Macaca mulatta: one gene and its partners. The protein of the gene in region 3 purifies or fractionates together with the protein of the main gene of each other region. This does not show direct contact. Links are inferred from orthologs where the notes say so. Each region holds a gene or a part of one and is shown on either strand. Other genes may lie near its edges.

The links. The genes of interacting proteins can lie anywhere in the genome.
Region 1: the proteins of TUBGCP2 (region 3) and MZT1 purify together in Homo sapiens (affinity purification with mass spectrometry; 4 studies listed by BioGRID and IntAct, counting the BioPlex papers as one, with this or other methods). This does not show direct contact. The link is inferred for Macaca mulatta from reciprocal best matches to the Homo sapiens genes TUBGCP2 and MZT1.
Region 2: the proteins of TUBGCP2 (region 3) and LGALS3BP purify together in Homo sapiens (affinity purification with mass spectrometry; 3 studies listed by BioGRID and IntAct, counting the BioPlex papers as one, with this or other methods). This does not show direct contact. The link is inferred for Macaca mulatta from reciprocal best matches to the Homo sapiens genes TUBGCP2 and LGALS3BP.

The regions. Positions count from the first base shown.
Region 1 is NC_133422.1:67,478,121-67,485,785, forward strand, and holds the start of MZT1 (mitotic-spindle organizing protein 1), read right to left. Parts: upstream 5,364-7,665; 5' UTR 5,321-5,363; coding exon 5,242-5,320; intron 1-5,241. Other genes in the region: BORA (protein aurora borealis), read left to right, coding at 6,634-6,786. UniProt on the Homo sapiens protein: Required for the recruitment and the assembly of the gamma-tubulin ring complex (gTuRC) at the centrosome.
Region 2 is NC_133421.1:88,659,357-88,667,087, forward strand, and holds the start of LGALS3BP (galectin-3-binding protein), read right to left. Parts: upstream 5,364-7,731; 5' UTR 5,229-5,363; exon of another isoform or gene 5,204-5,228; intron 2,590-5,203; 5' UTR 2,564-2,589; coding exon 2,512-2,563; intron 1,557-2,511; coding exon 1,307-1,556; intron 461-1,306; coding exon 225-460; intron 1-224.
Region 3 is NC_133414.1:145,380,791-145,388,025, forward strand, and holds part of TUBGCP2 (gamma-tubulin complex component 2), read right to left. Parts: intron 6,847-7,235; coding exon 6,666-6,846; intron 3,543-6,665; coding exon 3,370-3,542; intron 3,128-3,369; coding exon 2,999-3,127; intron 2,007-2,998; coding exon 1,886-2,006; intron 944-1,885; coding exon 800-943; intron 1-799. UniProt on the Homo sapiens protein: Component of the gamma-tubulin ring complex (gTuRC) which mediates microtubule nucleation.

The sequences.
Region 1 (7,665 bases), on a different chromosome or scaffold from region 3:
CTTTCCCTCTTTTTCATTTTCCACGTTAGTTGCTCATGGTTTTCATCTACCTTACGTGCTTTGTCATTCTTGGCTGAAAACTCATCCTCCATAGATTTATTTTAGGTGTCCTGGACTGGTGACACATTCTAAGATAGGACACTGTACCCTAGCCTTAGGCCTCTAGATCAGGCCTTGTAGTATTTTTGGTTCAGATCCAAAAAACACATGGACGGTGCTTCTCAATCTCTGGCTGTGACAAATGGCACATTTCTGACTCCCAGCTTCCGTGAGGCAGGGTAGCATGCTTTGTCAGGTTCTATTCCCGACAATTCCCTGTTGTGGTTCCCATGTGCTCCTTTCTTTTGGGGGAAACCTCTCTTTTCCTAATCAACGGGGACTTCCCTTCTTGCTTTTGAACAGGTCTATCCTGATACATTTTCTTACTATTTCCTATTATTTTTATATTCTTAGAGTTTCAGCAAGTGCTCAATCTACCATACTGAATCTTCACTTTATTTTTGACTGTCTTCATAAATGGATTCTACTTAGCCCTTGTACATTCTAAGTGGTTACCATCAGTATACTGGAACATTACATATTACACTTTTTAATCACCAGTCACCTTGATGAATTCTATGATGCTTCTAACAGTTTTTCAGTTGATTCTCTCCCTTCTCTGTCCAGTTTGTTCTCTTCATGGTAGACCCCCCACCTATAAAGGCTATGCTTATTCCTGACTTCACGCCTTTGTTCATGCTTTTCTCCTCTGCCTTTTCTCCTCCCTTCGTATAACTCAATGCTGTTTTCTTAGTTCATCTCATCTCCGGTATTTCTTCTTTAAGCCTTCTTTTCAAATGGACACCTATTTTTACTTCCTATTTTCACAAATCACCTGTAATCAAAAACTATTTCTTTAGTGCCCACTATATGATTAGTACAGGTTGAACACTCCTAATCCCAAAATCTGAAATGTGAAATGCTCCAAAATCCAAAACTTCTTAAGTACTGACATAACACCATAGTGGAAAATTCCACAGCTCATATAATGGATCAAAGTCAAAATGCAGGTGCTCAATACACAGCTCATCGGCATCCCTGAGGGAATAAAACAAAATTACCTTCAGGCTATGTGTATAAGGCATATATAAAACATAAATGAATTCTGTGTTTGGACTTGGGTCCCATCCCCAAGATATCTCATTATGTATGTGAAAATATTAAAAAAAAAAATCTGAAATCCAAAACATGTCCCAAGGTTTTTGGATGAGGGATAATCAACCTGCAACTGTATGTATTTTGTGCCTATTATGCTACTGCTGCAAATACAGTTACGAACAAGGTAGATATGGTCCCGGTCCTCACAGATATTAGTCCAGGAGGAGAGATAGACATTAAAGTAATAACTGATTCCAGATATAAGTAAAATAAAGAAAAAGAGTGGAATACTTCTGAAACAAATTACAAGGGCATCTTACCAAGTTTGGAAGGACACAGTGTTTAGCAAAGACTTGTCTGAAGAAGTTACAATTTCACTTAGACATCAAAGGTGAGAAGAAATCAACCAGACTAATACAGAGGCAGGAGGAAGGGTGATGGGTGAGAGCAAAGAAAACAGCTTGTGTGATGGTTCCTACACTAGAGGGAACTTAATAAATTCACAGACCTGAACTGCTATTGTGAAGGCAATGTAATTAATGGGGTGAATGGGTATAAAATATGAGATAAGTCCTAGTGAAGATCTTAGAACTGTGGAAAGCTATTGGAAGATATAAAATAGGAACATGAATAGATCAAATTTGCAATTTAAGGACTTTTTGGCTGAGTATCAAATGAATCTTTAAAAAGTCCAGTTATATCACAATTTTGATAAAAGACGGGTGGGTAGTATGATCAGGAGATATTTAGCCAACCTGAAATGAGTCAAGAATTGAAAGAGCTTAGTGAAGAACAGGAGGCAGAGGAGGTGAGAAAGCAAGACAGACTTCCAGATTTCTTTCTCAAATGTGCAACTGGATTGATGGTGGTAGCATGGACTACCTGTTTCTTTTGCTGGCACTGCCTTGCAGTGCTAGTCAAATGGAATATATATACCATAGATTCTCTTAACTCCTTTCTCTATAATGTGTTTCCTTTTTTTTTTTTTTTTTTTTTTGAGATGGAGTCTAGCTCTGTCACCCAGTCTGCAGTGCAGTGGCGCAATCTCGGCTCACGGCAACCTTTGCCTCCCAGGTTCAAGCGATTCTCCTGCCTCAGCCTCCCAAGCAGCTGGGAATACAGGTGCCTGAGCTTACTACTACAAATATATATACTACTATATATATATGCACACACTACTATATGTATGTATAGATATATATACTATATATGGTAGTGTATATGTATATAGTACTACTATATATATACTAAAGTACTGTATATATATAGTACTACTATATATATACTATATATAAGTACTAAAGTATAGTACTACTTTATATATATATTTAAAGTAGTGCTACAGGCCGGGCACAGTGGCTCAAGTCTATAATCCCAGCACTTTGGAAGGCCGAGGCGGGTGGATCACCTGAGGTGAGGAGTTCGAGACCAGCCTGGCCAACATGGTGAAACCCTGTGTCTACTAAAAATACAAAAATTAGCCAGGCATGGTGGCGGGCGCCTATAATCCCAGTTACTCCAGAGACTGAGGCAGGAGAATTGGGTCCTATCCCCAGCTTGAACCTGGGAGGCAGAGGTTGCAGTAAGCCAAGATCACGCCACTACACTCCAGCCAGACTCAGTCTCAAAAAAAAAAGTAAGTGTTATGATAAAGACTCTCGTAAGGAATAACTATCAAAATTAAAATTCAGATGCATAGGATGATTTGAGAGGAAAACAAAAATTAAAGTATAAAGCAATCAACAGAGAATACCTAACATATCAAAAAACTGAAAAGCAAAGGAGGCAACCATACACAGTGGGTTGGGCGGGGGGTGTTGTTGAAAAGGCACGACTATTTTAAGAGAATGCAGAATTTTAAGGATATAAGGATGAAAGCAAAGATCTCATGCAGACCGTATTCTAAATAGGCAGGGATAGTTCTTTTCAGAGTGAGCTACACAGATAACTGATTAATACAAAGTCAGCCTGCTGCCTCCCATGTCTTTAACAAAATCCTTCCATTTCATGATCAAAATGCAAATGTAGCCAAGAGTTCTGCAATTCATATGACTTAAAGGGGGGGTTCACAAATCCTGCCATTGAGAGGAGAAATGGTACTCAAAGTTTTGAAAATTTCACTTTTGATCTCATGGGTTGATTTAAATACTGTGAAACACCACATCCCCTCTCCTTCATTTTTTGTTTTACTTCACTTTTTCATGCTCTTATTCTCTCTATAATCTTCATTTTACACCAGGTTTTCTCAGAAAAGATCTTGATGATGTAGCCAACACAAATCATCAGTTCTCAATTGTACATCAGTGGTTCCACCAGAGAGAAAATGTGAGTTTTCTATTCAAATAGGATCCTACGACCATATACATAAGGAACCTAAGTACAGCTAACATAAGAAAACAGGCTAGAAGTGAGGTCTTTTACTCTACCTTTTTCCAAGGAAACATACAAGATAGTAAATTTTTATACACACAGACACACACACACACACACACACACACATACACATGCATAAATTCACTTACAAAATAAAACTAGTAAGTGTTGATACATCGAAAAGGATAGAAAAATAGGCTGAATATTAACATTCTCAGAAAAACAGCAAGGTAGATACTGAACAAGTGAAAAATTAGATGCAAAGTCTCTAAAAATGTTAATTCTTTGAAAAAGGAACGAGCAGCCAGTGCAGAAAAAGCCAGCAGCCCTTCTGCAGGGGCTATGTAAGAAAATGAGGCCGGGTGTGGTGGCTCACACCTGTAATCCTAGCACTTTGGGAGCCCAGGTGGGTGGATCACCTGAAGTCAAGAGTTCGAGACCAACCTGGCCAACATGGCGAAACTCCGTCTCTACTAAAAATAAAAAAAAAATTAGCCAGGTGTGGTAGCGGGCACCTGTAATACCAGCTACTCTGGAGGCTGAGGGTGGGAAGAGTTGCCTGAACACAGGAGGCGGAGGTTGCAGTGAGCTGAGGTTGCGCCACTGCACTCCAGCCTGGGCAACCACAGCATGACTCCATCTCAAAAAAAAAAAAAAAAAAAAAAGCCTACAGTGAAGGAGAAAGAGATACAGGAGTTAGAATTTCATAGGGTTATCTTTTAACAGAGAGGGAAGCTGACTTAAGTAGCCTCTGGAAAACGTCTAGGCCCACTGCAAATGACATTTAACATCGATCAAACACTCATAATACAGGTGGATGTGAGTAAAAAGGAGACAAAGGAGACTACAAGAGAGATGACATCGGAAATAATATAAAAATAATTGATCATCTTTGATATATTTTTACATGGTTGTCTTATTTAAATATTCACAACTCTTGGAGGCAGGATTTTATTTTAAACAAACAGGCTCAATGTTTAAGTATCTAGTCCAAGCTCACCACAGGGTTATAAAGTGGCATTAGAGAGTAGAGAGAAGGTAATCGGCAAGACACTAATTTCGTGTTCTGCAACGCTTGTGTAGGCTCCAGAGCTTGTGTAGGCTCCAGGGCCGAAAACAGGCGACACCCATAGCACTTGGGCACTGGCGTCACCCGCTTCAAGAGGAAACTAGGATAATTCTGACGAAGGGGGGAACTTAATCATTCGCAGGATATTAAAGGCCGCCTACTTAAGTGCGAAGAACACGAGGCATAGCGGTGACCAAACACCTGGCCCCTGTCCCCGCCAGGATCCCAACCTTGGGGATCCCAACCTTGGGGACCCCCGAAGCGCCCTGCGCGGGAATCCGGTGGGACGCGGCGCGCAGGAGGGAACGGGTGTACTGGGTGGGGTGGGCGTGGCGCTGTCACCGCAGGAGATCGGGCGGGTAGGGCGGACCTGGGACGCGGGATAGAAGGGGCGCGGCATTCGCGCGAGAAGGACGCGGTGCGCAACCGGCTGACTAGGGGGCCGCAACGTCTGGCGCGCGCGACAAACTACGCAGCGGCGGAGACAACTCTCAAGGGATAGGGCCATCAGTCCTGCGGCCCTGGCAGGTCCCTTCCAAAGATCTTCGAAGATGCCGTTTGGGGCACGAAGGGGACCTGAAGTCCTCCCCAGGCTCAGCTCCGCCTGGGGGCCTTGGCTCTGGGAAGGCAGGCAACGTAAAAGGAGCGCAACTGACACTCACCGTCCATGGTCTCCCGCACCGCATTCAGATTCGCCGCCGCGGCCGCCGCCGCCCCCCCAGCGCCGCTGCTACTCGCCATGGCTAAGGCCGAGGGAGGCGGGAGAAGGGCCTGACCCGGAACTGGAGCGCCTTCCTCTCTCCCGGGCAATCACACGGCGCGTCTCCGCTCACGCCGGGCAGGCTCCGCCCCTCGCGCTCGCCGCCGGCGTGAGGCTGCGTTGATTTGAATTTGGAGCCTCGTTCCTCTGCGCGGAACGTGGAGCCAGGAGTTGCTATTCGAATTTTCTACGCGGCCTCCGTGCAATTGGTTGGTTCGCGGATGGCGGGACGACGCGATTGGCCAGTCGCTCACAAGCCCCGTGCCCTGGTTGGCCCAAGACAGCGCGGAAGCGGGGAGTTAAAGAGTCTGTGCCTGACGTGGAAGCTGGCTTGGCCCCCGGGAGCTCCCTGTAGTCGGTATTGGGGGCTTCGTTTTCTACGCACCGGTAGGTAGGTTTTTTATGGTCCCTGACCTTTCCTCCTGTCCGAATGGAGAGGTTTCTTTTCCCAGCTCCTGACTTGCCTGCCCGCTGGCCCCTGGTGAATGGGAGCAGTCAGGGAGTAGGTGTGGAAGACAGGGGCACCAGAAAGAGTGGCCACGTAGGGTGGGGGGCGACGCCTCCTCGGCGCTCCGTCCGAGGAAGCCGGCTGCATCTCAACCTTACAGAAGTAGACTCTTCTCCACCCCACCCCGCCAAGTTGTAGCCTCCTTTGATTGGAAATAATGCAGAGTCGCTTTCTATCCTGGGAGGGGTGAGGGGGAGGTCTTGGCGAAAGGAGGATTTTTGGAGGAAAGGGGATTCAAGGCAGTTAATTTCCTAGCCCCTGTCAATCATACTTCTCTGGCTAGGACTCATGTGTAAGAAAGGCACAAGCTTCTGCATCTCTTACCTGCTTGCTACAAAGAATTGTTTAATAGCAACTGTAGTTGGATGGGGTATCCGAAGAATGTTCATAGTGTTGAGACGTGAGATGATGAATTTTAAAAAAATTGTAGCTATAAGTCCTTTAGTTGAGAAGAGATTTGTGCCTGTTGTAACCTTTAGATCTGAATTCATATTTGATTGCTGCGTATAAGCCACTTCACTTCTCTGAGCTTGTTAATTCTTTCACAGAATAATATCACTAATAACTTACTGCTATAGCTTTCAAGGTTATTTCGAGGATCAGTTGAGAACATTTATATGTGATACTTTTTTCATAAGCTGTATCATAGCCCCAAGAGTGTTAGGTTTTGAGTTGTTTTTGTGACACATTTGTCGAATACATTTTAATAGGTAAAATTAATATCTATGGGACTTTGTAATTTTAACATATGTACTCTTGATTTCTCTTTAGTTTTCTCTCTGTGCTATGGGAGATGTCAAGGAATCTAAAATGCAAATAACACCAGAAACTCCAGGAAGGATCCCTGTTTTAAATCCTTTTGAAAGTCCTAGTGATTATTCTAATCTCCATGAACAAACTCTCGCCAGTCCTTCTGTTTTTAAATCAACAAAATTACCAGTAAGTTATTCCTGACTAGTGTTTACAACTAATTTTAAATGTAAATAATTACAAATAATTTTAAATGTAAACATCTGTCTTTACAAGGTAAGGAGGAAATACATGATGGAGCATATATAACTGCAATGTACTTTTAAAAATTGTAGTGTTCATTATAATCTAGTGGTTAGGTTAATAAGTTAGCTAGAAGTTTTTTTTTTTTTTAAGTTCAAGAACAACATATGTTAGCTTCCTGCAGTTGTGGGTGTAGCTACATTCTGTGGTTGATGATATAGCTGCTAATACGTTAGAGAAGAAGCTGCATCATCTAATATTCTGTTCTCACTTACCTGGCAAACATTATTTGAGTGTTGCTATGTGTCAGATACAATGCTAAGCAGGGATTACGCTGTGAACAAGTTAGGATCATTAGGCACAAATCCTTAAGGAGGTTATACTCCAATGTAGGAGTCACAAACTTTCTGTTAGGGGCCAGACAGTAAATATTTAAGCTTTACTGATCATTTGATCTCTGTCACAACTACTCACTTCTGTCTTGAATCACAAAAGCAGCCATAGGCAATGTGTAAAGAGATAAATGTTACTCTGTTCCAATACAGCTTTATTTATGGACACATTTGAATTTCATATAATTTTCACATGTCACAAGATTTTTTTTTTGTTTTTTTCTCCAACCATTTAAAACTGTCAAAATAATTCTTAGCTTGCAATCTATTATAAAAAGAAACTAACCCCTATTTTAATGTGTTAGACTAGACTATTACTCATCTAATACTAGACGAGTAATATCAGGACAGTGTGATAGGTGATTAGTGCTTAGCACAATAGTAATATGAAGGAAAAGTGTTTTTCGGGATATTAGAAAAGGCTTCATCACTT
Region 2 (7,731 bases), on a different chromosome or scaffold from region 3:
ACTTGGTGGTTCTGGGCGTTTCTCCAGAAGGGGCTGGGGAGGAGTCCAGGACTGTGGGACTGGGAGCTGGTGGGCTCTTTGGACGTCCGGGACTCTCCATGCGGAGTGGGCAGGTGGTAGTGGAAGGAACCTTTGTGTGCTTCGTGTGTGGGGGGGTGGTGCCGGGAGGGGCAGGGGCCACGGGACCCCAGGGCACGCTGGGGCCTCCGCAGGGAAGTGCTCACCATTGGTGCAGACCACACCAGCGTCTCTCTCGTGCCTGCAGTTGCTCTTCAGCCAGCCCAGGGACTTGCAGTCAGCCAGCGAGGCCTCGGTTCCCATGCACTGGACCTCGTCCAGCATGATGGGGCCTGATCCTGTGGACACAGCAGATGGCAGGGCTGGGGGTGTGATGACTGCACCTAGGAGTCCCACAGCGAGACTCAGCCCTTTGTTCCGCGCCCCAGCCGTGCGGGTCCGTCTGCGTACAGGTCCTTCACCGGCGAACCACGGTGGATATTCCAGCAAGGGCTGGGTTTGTGATTGCAACGTCAGGCCATAAACTTAGCCTTCATGCTTACAAAGCTTACTGGCTCCTGCAGCAACATCACGTTCATGTACAGTAATTGCGTGCCTGTCCCTGCAACATCAGGCGCACATACTGTATTTGTGTGACTATCCCTGCTGCAAAATAGTTGGTGGATTGTTTCTCTTTTTTTTCCAGAATTGCAACTGCTGTGTTAGTGGAAATCTTCCTGCATACAGACTTTTCTTTTGAGGGGAAATTGTTTCAAGAGGATAAACTCCTGGAGTGGAGTTTCTGGGCCGGAGGGAACAAGCCCAGCCCAGCTCTTGAACCTGCCCAAGCACCTGCCACCGTCACCGGCCAAGTGTGGGTGACGCAGTCCCACCGGAACTTGATCCACAGGGCTTCAGCGCCATCAAAAGTGTTTGCTCTTAGGCCGGGTGTGGTCATCCCAGCACTTCGGGAGGCTGAGGCGGGCGGATCACTTGACACCAGAAGTTCAAGATCAACCTGGCCAACATGGTGAAACCCCTTCTCTACTAAAAAATACAAAAGTCAGCCGGGCATGGTGGCAAGTACCTGCAATCCCAGCTACTCAGAAGGCTGAGGCAGGAGAATCGCTTGAACTCAGGAGGCCGAGGTTGCAGTGAGCCGGGATCGTGCCACTACACTCCAGCCTGGGTGACAGAGCAAGACTCCGTTTAAAAAAAAAAATTGTTTGTTTGCTCTTGCTAAATTAATAGTAATCCAATTTGCATGTCTTTGAAACCTGACTGTCTCATCTTCGGGAATTTGCCCTGCCTGGGAGCTGGCTGTGCTGTGGGTCTCGGCTTTGGAGGACGGGGACAGCAGGCCCTACCTTGCCCGAAGGCAGCTCTGCCCAGAGCCTGGGTGGCGTTCTCAAAGCCCAGGGCCCGGCAGACGACGCTGGCATCAGTCAGGTCCCACAGGTTGTCACACACAGTGCCCCACTGGCCTCTGTAGAAGATCTCCACGCGGCCCTGGTTGGTGGCGCCCCCATCGGCCAGCCGCATGTCACCATCGTTCATGCCTGCAGGTAGAGACGAGCGAGGGCCAGGCTGGGGCCTGCGGCACCCACCGCCCGCACCTCCAGGACCCATGCTGTCCTGGGTCTCCCCTGCTGAGCTTCTTTTCCAGGGTTTCAAGGTCCCCTGGCCTCTCCATGAGGGAGGAGTGGAAGATACATACAGCCCCCTGCCCCACGGAGGCTAAACTCGCCTTTCCTTGTTTTAGGGGTCTCAGCCCTTCACTCCATAGACAGAACAGGGGCAGAGAAGCCCCAGGTTCTCAAGCACTGGGAATGGAGGTGGCAAGACCCCGGGGGAAGGATCGTGGGGGAATGGAGGCCCTGTGCTGACCCGCCCGAGGGTGTCTGCAGTTTGGGGGTGCTGGCCTGTGGGGGCGCAGGCCTAGGGACCCCTGGGAGCACAGGCGGAATGTTTCCAGGGCAGAGAATGGGATTCCCACTCCACACGTCCTTCTGGGACTCAGCCTGCCGACACTCCAGCCCCTATAGGAGCTGACAGAGCCGGGCAGGAGCTGGGTGCCTGAATCTAGCTGGGGGCACATCTGGCTTCCGTGGGGCCCCCAGGATGAGCGTGAGCCTCCAGGGGCTCACAGTGCAAAGGATGTGAGGAAAAGCAGCCAGGACCCTCTGGAAGATTGACCTGCGTCCGAGGCCGTTGACTTCACCACAGCCCCGGTGACTGCTGGTTTGACCAGCTCCTCTGGTTCCCTCTGGACAGAATGGAGGACTCCTTAGTGTCCTATCTATAACCTGCATCTCACCTGAGCCCAGGTGAGCCCCCTGGAACCTCCAAGCCACCATCACTTGGGATACCTGGTGCCGCAGGCAGGAGAGAAGACCTGGCTAACCGCTGGGCCCCGGGCCCCAGGCAGAGCATCTCCTTGAAGCTCTGCACAGACCCAGGCTGCAGCAGCCTCACAGACTTTTGCTTTTGGCATTTCCCAGGGGCTCAGCTCACCTTGGGTCCCTGCGACCAGCAACCACACCCAGAAGAGCCTCGGAGGGGCCATGGCGGTGCTTGGATGCCCAGATCCTGCTGCAGACAGAAGCGGCAGAGTGAGGCACGGGAGCCAGGTGGCCCGAAGCCCGGGGACCGGCCTGCCCATTAACCCTTCAGCCCGACCTGGGCTGTGTGGCAGGCGGGATCCCTCTCCTGCAGAGCCCACTGTGGTCCCAGTAAGTGTGATGGGTGCTATGGAAGCGCCCCACAGGGGCCCCTTCACCTGGTCTGCAGCATGCTCCTGGAAGGATGTGTAAGACTTGGCTAGATGAAGGGGTGGGCTGGGGGTACCCCCTGGCAGTTAAGGACAGCAAGAATCGGTGACTAGAGGCAAGTGAGCTCATCTCAAAAAACCAGGCCCCGGGCAAGGCCGCCACATGGGCATGGGCGGGGAGGGTGGAGAGGGAGGAGGCCATGGGCACAGGCCGAGGTCGGGAGGCCGGGTGAGCCTGGTTAAGATCTGGGCCTTAATCTTCAGGCAACAGACCCCCACAGGGACTGTCCCAGAGGCCTAAGCAGGCAAAGGCAGCCTGCAGAGTGGATGGGAGGGGACTCGTCAGGAGAGGCCACGGAGGCTGGGCCGGGGTGACAGATAAGCAGCAAGGAGACACATCGGGGCTCCATGGTGTTCGGATGGGGAAGATAGGGGAAAAGGGTCAGGGCTGCAGCCCAGGGTGGGCCATGCTGGGGGAAGAACGGGGAGGAAATGCTGAAGTATCCCCAAGACACTGACACTCAGGCTGCGGTTGGGGAGGTCCGGGTCTCCGCCTTCTGGCCTGGTGTTCTTGCCTCCGTGTAATTTCCACGCTTTTGTCTTCGCCTACCTCCCTCCCCCACACCCTGCCAATGGAGAGACAGGTATGGCTTCTCTGGCTCGGTAAGAATCCTGTGACACCTGACACTGTCCCCTCAGTTCAGCAAGCCAGGGGCAGGCCTCTGGGTGGCACTGCTGTGGGCACCGGCTGGGAGTCTGGGCCTGGTGACCTTGAGGCTGCTCAGAGGGGGCCTGGTGGACGGCTGCAATGGCATCGCCAGAGCTTGTTGGAAGTGCTGTCATGGCTGGCCTCGCCCTAGCCCCTCTGCATGGGAGTCTGCATGAACAAGCACCCTGGGAGCTGGGTGCCCTGGCTGGTGAGAGCTTTGCTCTGGGACTCACGCTCACTGGCACTGCGCAGCCACCCCTTATCAGGGCTCCCCAGGCACCACTGGAGGCCTTACCGTGACCTTGAGAACCACCTTAGTTACACCCCACCTTACAAGTGAAGAAGCTGACACCCAGAGAGGTAAATGGGCTCCACGTCCACAGCCATAGGCAGGGGGTCTGCTCGGTGGAGCCCACCTCTCCTCCCTGCGTCAATGTCAGTAGATGGCTAAAGACACCAGGGTGTGACTGCCTGTCCTGTGTGCTGGGGACTGTGCTTGTTTTAGCACTGAAGTTTCCCTGTGTCCTGGGAAACCCTCAGTCCCAGGCACGCCGGTATGGGTGGACGCCCTCTCCACTTCTGTCCCCAGCCACTTCACTCCGCTGCAGCCACCAGGTTTGTCCGTCCTGGGAGAGTAACTCAGGGCCTTGGAAAAATGGCCAAGTGGCCAGGCGCGATGGCTCACGCCTGTATCCTAGAACTTTGGGAGGCTGGGGCAGGTGTATCATTTGAGGTCAGGAGTTCGAGACCAGCCTGGCCAACATGGTGAAACCCCACCTCTACTAAAAATACAAAAGAAGAAGGAGAAGGAGAAGGAGAAGAAGGAGAAGAAGCTGGGCGTGGTGGTGCGCATCTGTAGTCCCAGCTACTCAGGAGGCTGAGGCAACAGAATTGCTTGAATCTGGCAGGCAGAGGTTGCAGTGAGCCATTGCACTACAGCCTGGGTGACAGAGCAAGACTCCGTCTCAAAAAAAAAAGCGGGCAACGAAGCACCTGGCAGGTGGCGTTCCGCCCTCTGGGTGGCAGCAGCTGGCGACTTTTGCCTGATTCCTTCATACGGGGAGTTGAGACCCGGCTGCCTGTGTTGGCCCCTTCATGCAAATCAGAAAAAAAGGTGCTCTTCCTAGGAGTGGGTGCAGGCCTAGGCCAAATGCACAGGCCCGAGAGAGGCCAACCTGGATTCTAACCCACTCGCCCTCTGGCTGGTATCCTCGTGCAGTGAGCCACCTGCCCAACTGCACACAGAGGTCCTGTGGGCCTGGGAGCAGCAATGACTGTTGCTGGGCTCAGGAGCCCTGGATCCCCAGCTCCAGGCCTATGTGCAAACAGGGAGGCATGACCCCCACTTGCCTGTGTAGAGAGAGGGGTGCCCTGGCCGGGCGCGATGGCTCACGCCCGTCATCCCAGCACTTTGGGAGGCCGAGGCGGGTAGATCACCAGAGGTCAGGAGTTTGAGACCAGGCTGGCCAACATGGCGAAACCCTGTCTCTACTAAAAATACAAAAATTAGCTGGACGTGGTGGTGCGTGCCTGTAATCCCAGCTACTTGGGAGGCTGAGGCAGGAGAATCGTTTGAACCCGGGAGGTGGAGGCTGCAGTGAGCTGAGATAGCATCACTGTACTCCAGCCTGAGTGACAGAGTGAGACCCTGTCACAAAAAACAAACAAACAAACAAAAAAAACAAAAAAAACAAAACAGAGAGAGAGAGAGAGAGAGAGGTGCCCACCTGGGAGCTGGAGGCAGCAGCTTACCTGGCTGGGGCAGCTGCGATGGCTGTGCTGCAGCCCCGTCACTTCCAGCCACAAGAGCCCTCTGCAGACTGTTCCTTTGACCCAGAAGCCTCTCCCAGGGTGGAGTGTGGTCAGGCTGATCCCAGGAAATGCTTCAGAAAAGTCTACTTTCGATTTCTAGAAACCACCTGACATCGATGTCTTCTGGGATTGGCTGCTGCGGATACTCCCCAGGGGCCCTCTCCTTCGTCTCAGCTCTGCCCGTGGGTATCAGTGCCGGGCTGGCAGAGGCCCAAGGCGGGAGTCTGGCTGGAGCAAGGCCCGCAAGAGGACTGACAGCCACACTCAGTCGGAAACGCCGCCAGGCTGGCCAGGGGCTGGTGTTTGGGGGACGGGAGGGGAAGCAGCAGAGGCTCTGGGCCCAGACAGTCTGCACCTGGTGCCGGGGCACAGAGCCTCTCTTGGTGACATAATGGCTCTGTCCAGCTCATAGCCATTCCCTTTCCTCCCACTGAAAGCCAGCGCCTCAATTGTCCCTTGAGGAGCACCCCCTCCCACTCCAGGCTGTGTGGTTCCCAGACGGCCCCCAGCTCTTGGCCTTCAACCACCCAAGGCCTGGGTGTCTGAGCCCTGCGGGGCCCCCCGGGCCACACTACTGGTTTCAGGGTGGGGCTGTGAGCCCAGCCAGCTGGTGAGAGCCGGCTTCCGACTGAGAGGATGTGGGCCCAGGCTGCTGGGGCCCATGGGACAGAGCAGAGGGAAGCAGGCATCCTCCGGCCTGAGCTCCTGGGTCCAACTGGCCTAATCAGTGGTCAAGCCTGGGCTTCACCTGCTCAGTGAGGCAATCAGCAGCCTCTTTTGTTTCTGTCACTTGCACTCCGTGATTCTGAACAAGCCTTGGGATGTGCCCAGGCCTCTGACCAGTGGTTCTCAGCCTGGACTGGACAGAAGAATCATCGGGGAGTTTTACAAACTCCTAATGCCCAGACCCAGGAAGTCACCATCTCCGGGAGTGGGGGACAGGCAGGGGCATTTCAAAAGCCCCCAGGCAGTCCCACCGGGTGGAAAGTCCTGGTTCCCTGGCAGCTCAGAGTCCGAGACAGCCAGCCCAGAGGTCAGAGATTCAATGACTATTTCCCTCAAGATGTGAGGGTATAGGCAGCTGCATGGTTTGCCTAATCCCCTCCAGAGGAGCTGTGAAGACCCAGGGGCAGATGCAGCTGGAAATAGAACTGGCATAGCAGGCTGTGGGGAGTTTAAAAAATCTCATCCGGATTAAGGGCCTCAGTGCACAGAAACCCCAGCTTCATCCCTTCTCAGCAGCGCTAATGACTTCTGCCCGAGTGGCCAGGGAAGCACAGGAGTGCCGAGGACAGGAAGGCACCTCTGAGAAGTGCTGGGAAATGTTTTAAAACTCAGATGCCGAATCTTTAGCCCCAGAGCCCGGGAAAGTCCTGAGCCATCCAGGCAGGTAAAATGGAAGACCCAGAGGCCTCCTTGTGGAATCAGAGCACCAGTATCTGCTCCCCTGGGGCTCACAAGGCCTTTCCGGTAGACGATGACCATGGGGTGGTGGGAAGCGCTGGCAGGGGACAGGCAGCGGACAGGCAGCTCAGTTCTGAGAAGACAGCTGGGTGAGAGCCTCAGATTCGTGTGGACAGAACTGCTGTCATCAGGAAGCCACTCCCAAGACATGGTGGGGAAAATGCTGGGCGTTTCAGAGATGAGAATGGTTAACTGGCCTGTAAGATCATCTTTTGTGCCTCTACCCCAAACCTCTCCGCAAATAGAGGAACACTCCCTATAAATAGCTAATATGGATTTCACCAGGCATTACTGTAAACCTTGCCACGAATGAACGCATTTAATACTTCCAGCCATGATGGGAAGCAGCTGCTCTTATGTTCCCTGTTACAGACGAGAAAACAGAGGCTCAACGAGGCAACGTAATTGGCTAAAATTGTGCAGCTGGAAAGGGAAAACCTGGGATTTCAAACGCATCCTTTTCTTCTTTTTAAAAATTGGCTTCGTTGGCATGTAATTTACCTGCAAAGTTTTGGCAAATGTGTAGCGATGGTATTGTGACAACAATCATTACCCAGGGCGTTTTAATCACTCCAGGAATTCTCGTATGCCTCTCTGCAGCCACCCCTCCCCCAGCCCCTTCCCAGCAACCACTTCTCAGCTTCTGCCACTGCTGGTTGCCTTTTCTAGAATTCCCTCTATTTTGTCTTCTTTTCTAAGACACACTCTCCCTCCATTGCCCAGGCTGGAGTGCAGTGGCATGATCTCGGCTCACTGCAACCTCTGCCTCCCAGGTTCACGCGATTCTCCTGCCTCAGTCTCCTGAGTAGCTGGGATTACAGGTGCGCCCATCACCACGCCCAGCTAATTTTTGTATTTTTAGTAGAGAAGGGGTTTCTCCACATTGGCCAGGCTGGCCTCAAACTTCTGACCTCAGGTGATCCACCTGCCTCTGCCTCCCAAATCGCTGGGATTACAGGCGTGAGGCACCACTCCTGGC
Region 3 (7,235 bases):
GAGTTGCAAGGAAATGCTTCTGTTAGTTACAACCACAACGCTTTGCAGAAAAAATAACTCCTGCAGGTACATCACCCGCTGCATCTCTGTTGTAGCCTGCGGCCGCAGGAACACACAAGCATCCCCGCGGCCGCGGGAACACACGGGCGTGCCCGCGGCCGCGGGAACACACGGGCGTCCCCGCGGCTGCAGGGGAAATGCTTCAGCTGTGCCGACAGAATTCCCAGGTCTGCCTTCACAGAGACCAACTAATTTTCCTAAGAGCAGTGTTTTTTGTGTTTCCCGATTTGGGACCCCGAGATGGCTCTCACATGTCAGCAATAGCTGAAAGCGCCCGTGCCCTCCTCCGGACCCTCCCCATGGCACTGCCTGGAGAGCCTGATCCCCAGACCCCTGGAGCCCTAGTGTGGCCCCAGGTGCCCCTTCTGCCGCTAGACGCTCAGGTTCTGTGCCATCACCACTGGGCAGCTGCTTGTGACTAGTGCCCACAGGTCCTTAACGGAACCAAATAACTCAAGTGCTGAGGAAAAGAGCGCACAAGGGCCGTGAACAAAGGCCCCAGACAGAGACCAGCACCACGGAGGCTGAGGGATGGTTCGGAGGAACACAGCCCTGCTCACGCTGCCAGGGCAGGGGCTCCAGGAGGGAACCACCCGGCCAGGAAGACCGGGAGTTCTGGAAACACTCAGATCCCAGCGGCTCCTCCACCCACACAAGGGCAGGAAAAGGTGAGCAGGCTGCGTGCGACCGCGGTCGGGATACGGTCTGCCCACCCAATGGTGCCGCCCACGCCACGCACCTGCATGCAGTTGGTGAACATGACGCACACAGACATGAGCTTGGAAAAGACCTTCAGCAGCTCAGGGTTGGTGAGCATGCAGTCCTTCAGGCAGGTGTCCAGGAAGCCCGTGTGGTGGCCAAGGACGTCATCGATGTTGGAGGCCTTTGGGGAACAGACCAAGCCCCTTCTCAGAAAGACGTGGCCGACAGACGGGCTTCGCGTGCGCACGTGCTCAGTTCGGGCTTTGCGCATTCCTGTTCACGCATTTCCACCTCTTAAATGGGCCTTGGGCTTTTAGGGGGAAAATTCCAAATACCACTAAAAAAATGATGGGCACGTCCCGAAGGGGTTTCAGTTCTTAAGGCAGAAGACAGGAAGGGAGGCTGCGGCTGCTTCTAGAATTTGGTAACAACAGAGTCTGCCTTCAGGCCCCTCAGCCTCAGATGCGCAGTGTGAAAGGGATGACCCTGGGGGCAATGACGGCTCAGAGTCCCCAGATGATGGCAGGCAGCAAGGGGTCCCCTGTGTGGCCAGCAATGCTGGGACAGCTCCGCCCCGGAGGGAACCCCTGCCTCTCCCCTCCCCCTGCCTCTCCCCTCCCCCTGCCTCTCCCCTCCCCCTGCCTCTCCCCTCCCCCTGCCTCTCCCCTCTCCCTGCCTCTCCCCTCCCCCTGCCTGTGCCCTCCCCCTGCCTCTCCCCTCCCCCTGCCTCTCCCCTCCCCCTGCCTCTCCCCTCCCCCTGCCTGTGCCCTCCCCCTGCCTCTCCCCTCCCCTGCCTCTCCTGCCCTCCCCCCGCCTCTCCCCTCCCCCTGCCTCTCCCCTCCCTCGCCTCTCCCCTCCCCCTGCCTCTCCCCTCCCCCTGCCTCTCCCCTCCCCTGCCTCTCCTGGCCTCCCCCTGCCTGTGCCCTCCCCCTGCCTCTCCCCTCCCCTGCCTCTCCTGCCCTCCCCCCACCTCTCCCCTCCCCCTGCCTCTCCCCTCCCTCGCCTCTCCCCTCCCCCTGCCTCTCCCCTCCCCTGCCTCTCCTGCCCTCCCTGTCTCCCTCACATTAATTATGTGAAAGGAAACTGGCTTTCAATTGTTACGATCTATGGAGCTAAAACTCACAGATTTCAGGTTTTTCTCCAGGATATGCCAGGTCGGTTCCATCACTTCGAACATCATGTAGTACTGAATGTTCTGGACGAAGTTAAGCATTCGCTGCCGCAATGTGAAAGCCCCGGCAAACCTGAGTGACACGGAGGACGGAGGACAGCCATGGAGGACGTGGCCCCGACGGCACCCAGTGGATGTGGCTGTTTCCTCTGCAAAACAGGTGCCTCTCCCAGTCCATCAGACGTGGCCGCTGCTCCTGTGTCTGCCCAGCACAAGCTGTCACTGTCTACCAACCTGTGCCCCGCAGGGACACCCCCAGCCAGCCGGACAGTGGAGACTGGGATGCGGGCTCCTTGGTGGACGGACTCCTTGGAGCCCCAGGAGCCCACACCAGGAAGGTGCCACACGGCAGATGCACATTTGTGCTTCATGACTGAGATGACGTCTTTTTCATCTAATTTTTTTTTTTGAAAGACAGGGTCTTGCTGTCGCCCAGGCTGCAGTGCAGTGGCTGGATCTTGGCTCACTGCAGCCTTGACTTCCTGGGCTCAAGCAATCCTCCCACCTTAGCCTCCTGAGTCGCCGGAACTACAGGCATTCCCAGCTCATTAAAACAATTTTCCATTTTTTTTTTTTTTTTTTAAGAGATGAGCTCTCATTACATTGTCCAGGCTGGTCTCAAACTCGTGGGCTCAAGCAATCCTCCCACCTCAGCTTCCCAAAGTGCTGAGATTACAGGCAGGAGCCACCGCACCCGACTGGACAAATTCTTAAGCAGCTCTGCCATCGACCCCTTTTTTCAACACCCTAGAGCCACAGACCAGCAGCAAAGCACCTCTGGTTCCAGCAAGATGTGGCTGCCCGCTCTCGGGAGGAGCTTCTGTCCTGCACACTGACCTGGGTGGTCTCCATGCCCGTGCAGTCACCACAAGGCTCCAGAGAGGGCTGAGGGACAGAGCCAGCATGCCCTGAGGGGTGGACGGCAGCGCCGCGCAGCCCCAAGACAGGAAAATGAAGCATTATGGATCTAAAGCTACAAACGTGCGCTTCCAGATGACGTTTCCAGAAGCCTAGAAAGCAGAGCTGTCTACCAGGAGGGCACACGGGGACAGAGGAGGAACGCACCACTGGGCGGAGGGCAGCGAGTGCTGCTTGGCGGTTTTGTTGCTGATCCAGACGCTGCAGAGCTGCCGCTCCACGTGCTTGCAGTAGAACATGTGCCTGAAGAGCATCTGGTAGCGAGTGAGGGCCTTCCTGCAAGAGAGGCAGTGGCACCTCAGGCGGGCCTCCATGACAGGTGGCATCGTGCACACGGTGTCTGTGCTCCACAGTCTGCACGGTGGCCCCCGGACAGCCCGTGAATCCCCCGGGCACTGAAGGCCGGGGACAGCCGCCTTGGGTCCTCTGTGGGACGAGGTGGCCACTGGGTGGCACAGTTCTCGCTTCTGCCAAACCTGAGTGAACACCTAGCGAGTGCCTGAGTGGCCGACCCGCACCTGTTGATGATGAGTGAAAGGGGCCACTTGACGATGTAGTCGAAAGAGAAGGCCTCCAGGCCACTCAGCGTCAGCTCTGTGGGGTCGGCGTGGGCCATCGCCTTCTCCTGCTTGGTCTCGATGGCCAGAACACGCAAGAGCTGAGTGATGAGGTCATGGGGCATCAGGTCGATCTTGGAGGGAAGGAAATGAAACAAAGCATCCTGTTTTAAGGAAAAGACGCGAAGTCCCATCCCGACACCATTCACGCTCACAGGCCCAGCACTGACATAAGGTTCCCTACATTCCGATTCTAAACCTCAGAGGCTTTTCGAAAACCCAAACGTCTACTGATAAATCAAATTCAAAACTGAACCACTTCCTATCAAAACAAAACAAGAGAAATTCAGATGAAGTACTTTGTAAATACCCAATGCTGCTGTGGATGGTGTAAGGGAAAAACGCTTGGGATGGTGAAAGAAAGGTGATTCCTTAGGACGGAAACCTTAGTACACGATAAGCACCAGGCCCAGGTTGAAAAATAAAGCATATTTAGGCCGGGCACGGTGGCTCAAGCCTGTAATCCCAGCACTTTGGGAGGCCGAGACGGGCGGCCACGAGGTCAGGAGATCGAGACCATCCTGGCTAACACGGTGAAACCCCGTCTCTACTAAAAATACAAAAAACTAGCCAGGCGAGGTGGTGGGCGCCTGTAGTCCCAGCTACTCGGGAGGCTGAGGCAGGAGAATGGCGTGAACCCGGGAGGCGGAGCTTGCAGTGAGCTGAGATCCGGCCACTGCACTCCAGCCTGGGCGACAAAGCGAGACTCCGTCTCAAAAAAAAAAAAAAAAAGAAAAAGAAAGCATATTTGATGAGGGATATACTAGTTATTATGGACAAGTAATACTGTCCTCACGTTAATCATTCAAGTACTTACTAAGTTCCAACTACCTGACAGAGTTCCTACAAAACCATCACACAACGACAGGACAGAAAATGAAGGGTAGAGGATAAAGCAAGAAGAAACAAGCAGCAGACGGACGAAATCGCCGACCATCAGGAACGTAGAAATGAACCCCTGATGTCACTTCTCCATGGAGCAGACAAGACGGGGGCTTTCGCAGGTGTGCAGACAGCAGCCCCCAGCTGTGTGGCCCAGCGTCCTGAGACCGAAGTCCACCAAGGTCAGCCTAGTTGTACAAGGGCCATATATTTTGACCCAACAATTAACATTCCTGCTCTAACAAGAGACCCCAAAATATCTGAAGCAAGAATAGACAGAACGACAGGAGAAAAACAGCTCTTCAGTGACAGGGAGACTCGGTGCCCTACTTCTAATCATGGAGAGAACCGCCCGACGGAAGATCAGTGAGGTAAGACAGGGCCTCAGGACCCCAACTGCAGAACACCCAACAGCGGCCGAAGGCACGTCCTCCTCCCGCGCGCACGGAACCAAGGGCGCCTCCTCCTCCCTCCCGCGCACACAGAACCAAGGGCGCCTCCTCCTCCCTCCCGCGCACGCAGAACCGAGGGCGCGTCCTCCTCCCTCCCGCGCACACGGAACCGAGGGCGCCTCCTCCTCCCGCGCACACGGAACCGAGGGCGCGTTCTCCCGTGCACACGGAACACTCTCCAGGATGGATGTGGGGCCACTACACAAATCAATACATTTCACAAAACTGAAGCCACACAGTCTGTTCTCTAACCACAAAGAGATAAAGCTAGAAACAAGTAACAGAAGGAAAACCAGAAAATTCACAAACGTGGAAGTTAAACATAAACCACCCACGGCTCCAACAAGAAATCAGAGGGAATCAGGAACACCTCCAGACAAACAGAAATGAGGACGCTGGGGGATCAGCGAAGGCCGCGCGCAGAGGGATGTTTACAGCTGTAAACTAACTTTGCAAATTAAGAAACTAAAAAAAGACCACACTAAGCCCCTAAGCAGCAGACAGAAAGAGTAACAAAGATGACAGAAGAGAGAAAACAGAAAAACAGTCCAAAAACCCAAGAGTTGGTTCTTTGAAAAGCTCAATGAAATCGACAAATTCCCAGCTACATCAGCTAAGATGAAAGAACATTCAAATTACTAAAATCAGAAAAAGTAGGGCTATAACTACCAGCCTCACAGAAATAAAAAGCCGAACTAGAATTCCATGAACTGTGCACCAGACGAGATGCGAGACGAACAGCCGACCAAGAGGAAAGGGACTGAGCAGACCTGTGGCCAGCAAGGGGCCAAGTCCGCCTCAAAAGCCTCCAACAAAGACAAGCCCAGGGCCCAAGGACTCCCAGGCAAACCCTGTCAAACGTCCAAGAATCCACACACTCCTGGGGAGGCAAAGGTGGAAGGATCACTCGAGCCCAGGGGTTCAACCAGCCTGGGCAACATAGTGAGACCCCCGACTCTATCAAAAACAAAAATTAACAAACAGAAAAAAAAAAAAAAAAAAAAAAAACGGCCAGGCGTGGTGGCTGACGCCTGTAATCCCAGCACTTTGGGAGGCCAAAGTGAGTGGATCACCTGAGGTCAGGAGTTCAAGACCAGCCTGCGAAACATGGTGAAACCCCCCCCCTTTTTTTTTTTGAGACGGAGTCTCACTTTGTCGCCCAGGCTGGAGTGCAGTGGCACGATCTCAGCTCACTGCAAGCTCTGTCCCCCGGGTTCACGCCGTTCACCGTGTTAGCCAGGATGGTGTCGATCTCCTGACCTTGTGATCCGCCGGTCTCGGCCTCCCAAAGTGCTGGAATTACAGGCATCCGCCACCACCCCCGGCTGAAACCCCTTCTCTACTAAAAATACAAAAACTAGCTGGGCATGGTGGCGCACACCTGTAATCCCAGCTACTTGTGGGGCTGAGGCAGGAGCATCGCTTGAACCCGGGAGGCGGAGGTTACAGGGAGCTGAGATCGCGCCACTGCACTCCAGCCTGGGTGACAAGAGCGAAACTCTGTCTCAAAAACAACAACAACAACAACAGAAAGACAAAAACAAAAAGAACACCACTCCTGAAACCCTTTCAAAAAGCAGGTGGAGGGACAGGTCCACACTCATTCCACAAGGCCAGCACAACCTGACACCCAGGCTGACAAGGGCACTGCGGGAAAACCCGAGACCTGCGCCCCTCGTGAGCACAGGTGCGAAGACCCCCGATCCCGGCAAGCAGCCCCCACAGCCGAGAGTGAAGGAAACAGACCCCGCGGCTGCCCCACCCGGGCGGGGAGTGGGGGACAGGGCTGGCCTCTGCTGCGCTCTCCTCCCAGCCCCTCCGAGGCCCCTGCCTGAGGTGGCAGCCCCCGGCGCCCCCGCCCACCTTGAGGTCGTCCTTGTAGGGGTCAGTGTTGGCCGTGCTCATGCGCAGGGCCAGCTCCAGCAGCGCCTCCAGGCGGGGGGGCGTGATGTCCTCCACCGGCTTCCGGAGCTCCTCCTCCGCCAGGTCCATGAAGTGCACGAAGAAGTCGCCCTGGTCCATGAGGAAGTAGCGCTTGATGGACCTGCGCCAGGGAGCAGGCGTGAGCACGTCCCACCCGCAGGTGCCCGCCACAGCCAGGGAGCAGGCGTGAGCACGTCCCACCCGCAGGTGCCCGCCACAGCCAGGGAGCAGGCGTGAGCACGTCCCACCCGCAGGTGCCCGCCACAGCCAGGGAGCAGGCGTGAGCACGTCCCACCTGCAGGTGCCCGCCACAGCCATCATGCTAAAACACACCACAACGGGCTAAGCGCTTGGCTCTCGGGCAGGGGCTGTGCGACCACCATGTAGGCTGTGGCAGGAAGAGCCGAGAAAGGGCTGGTGGGCCCTGGGCAAGGAAGGGAGCTGGGGCCCCTGGACAAGGTGACCCGGGGCCTACACCACCGACTGTGCGTGCCAGGTCCTTGAGCTAGA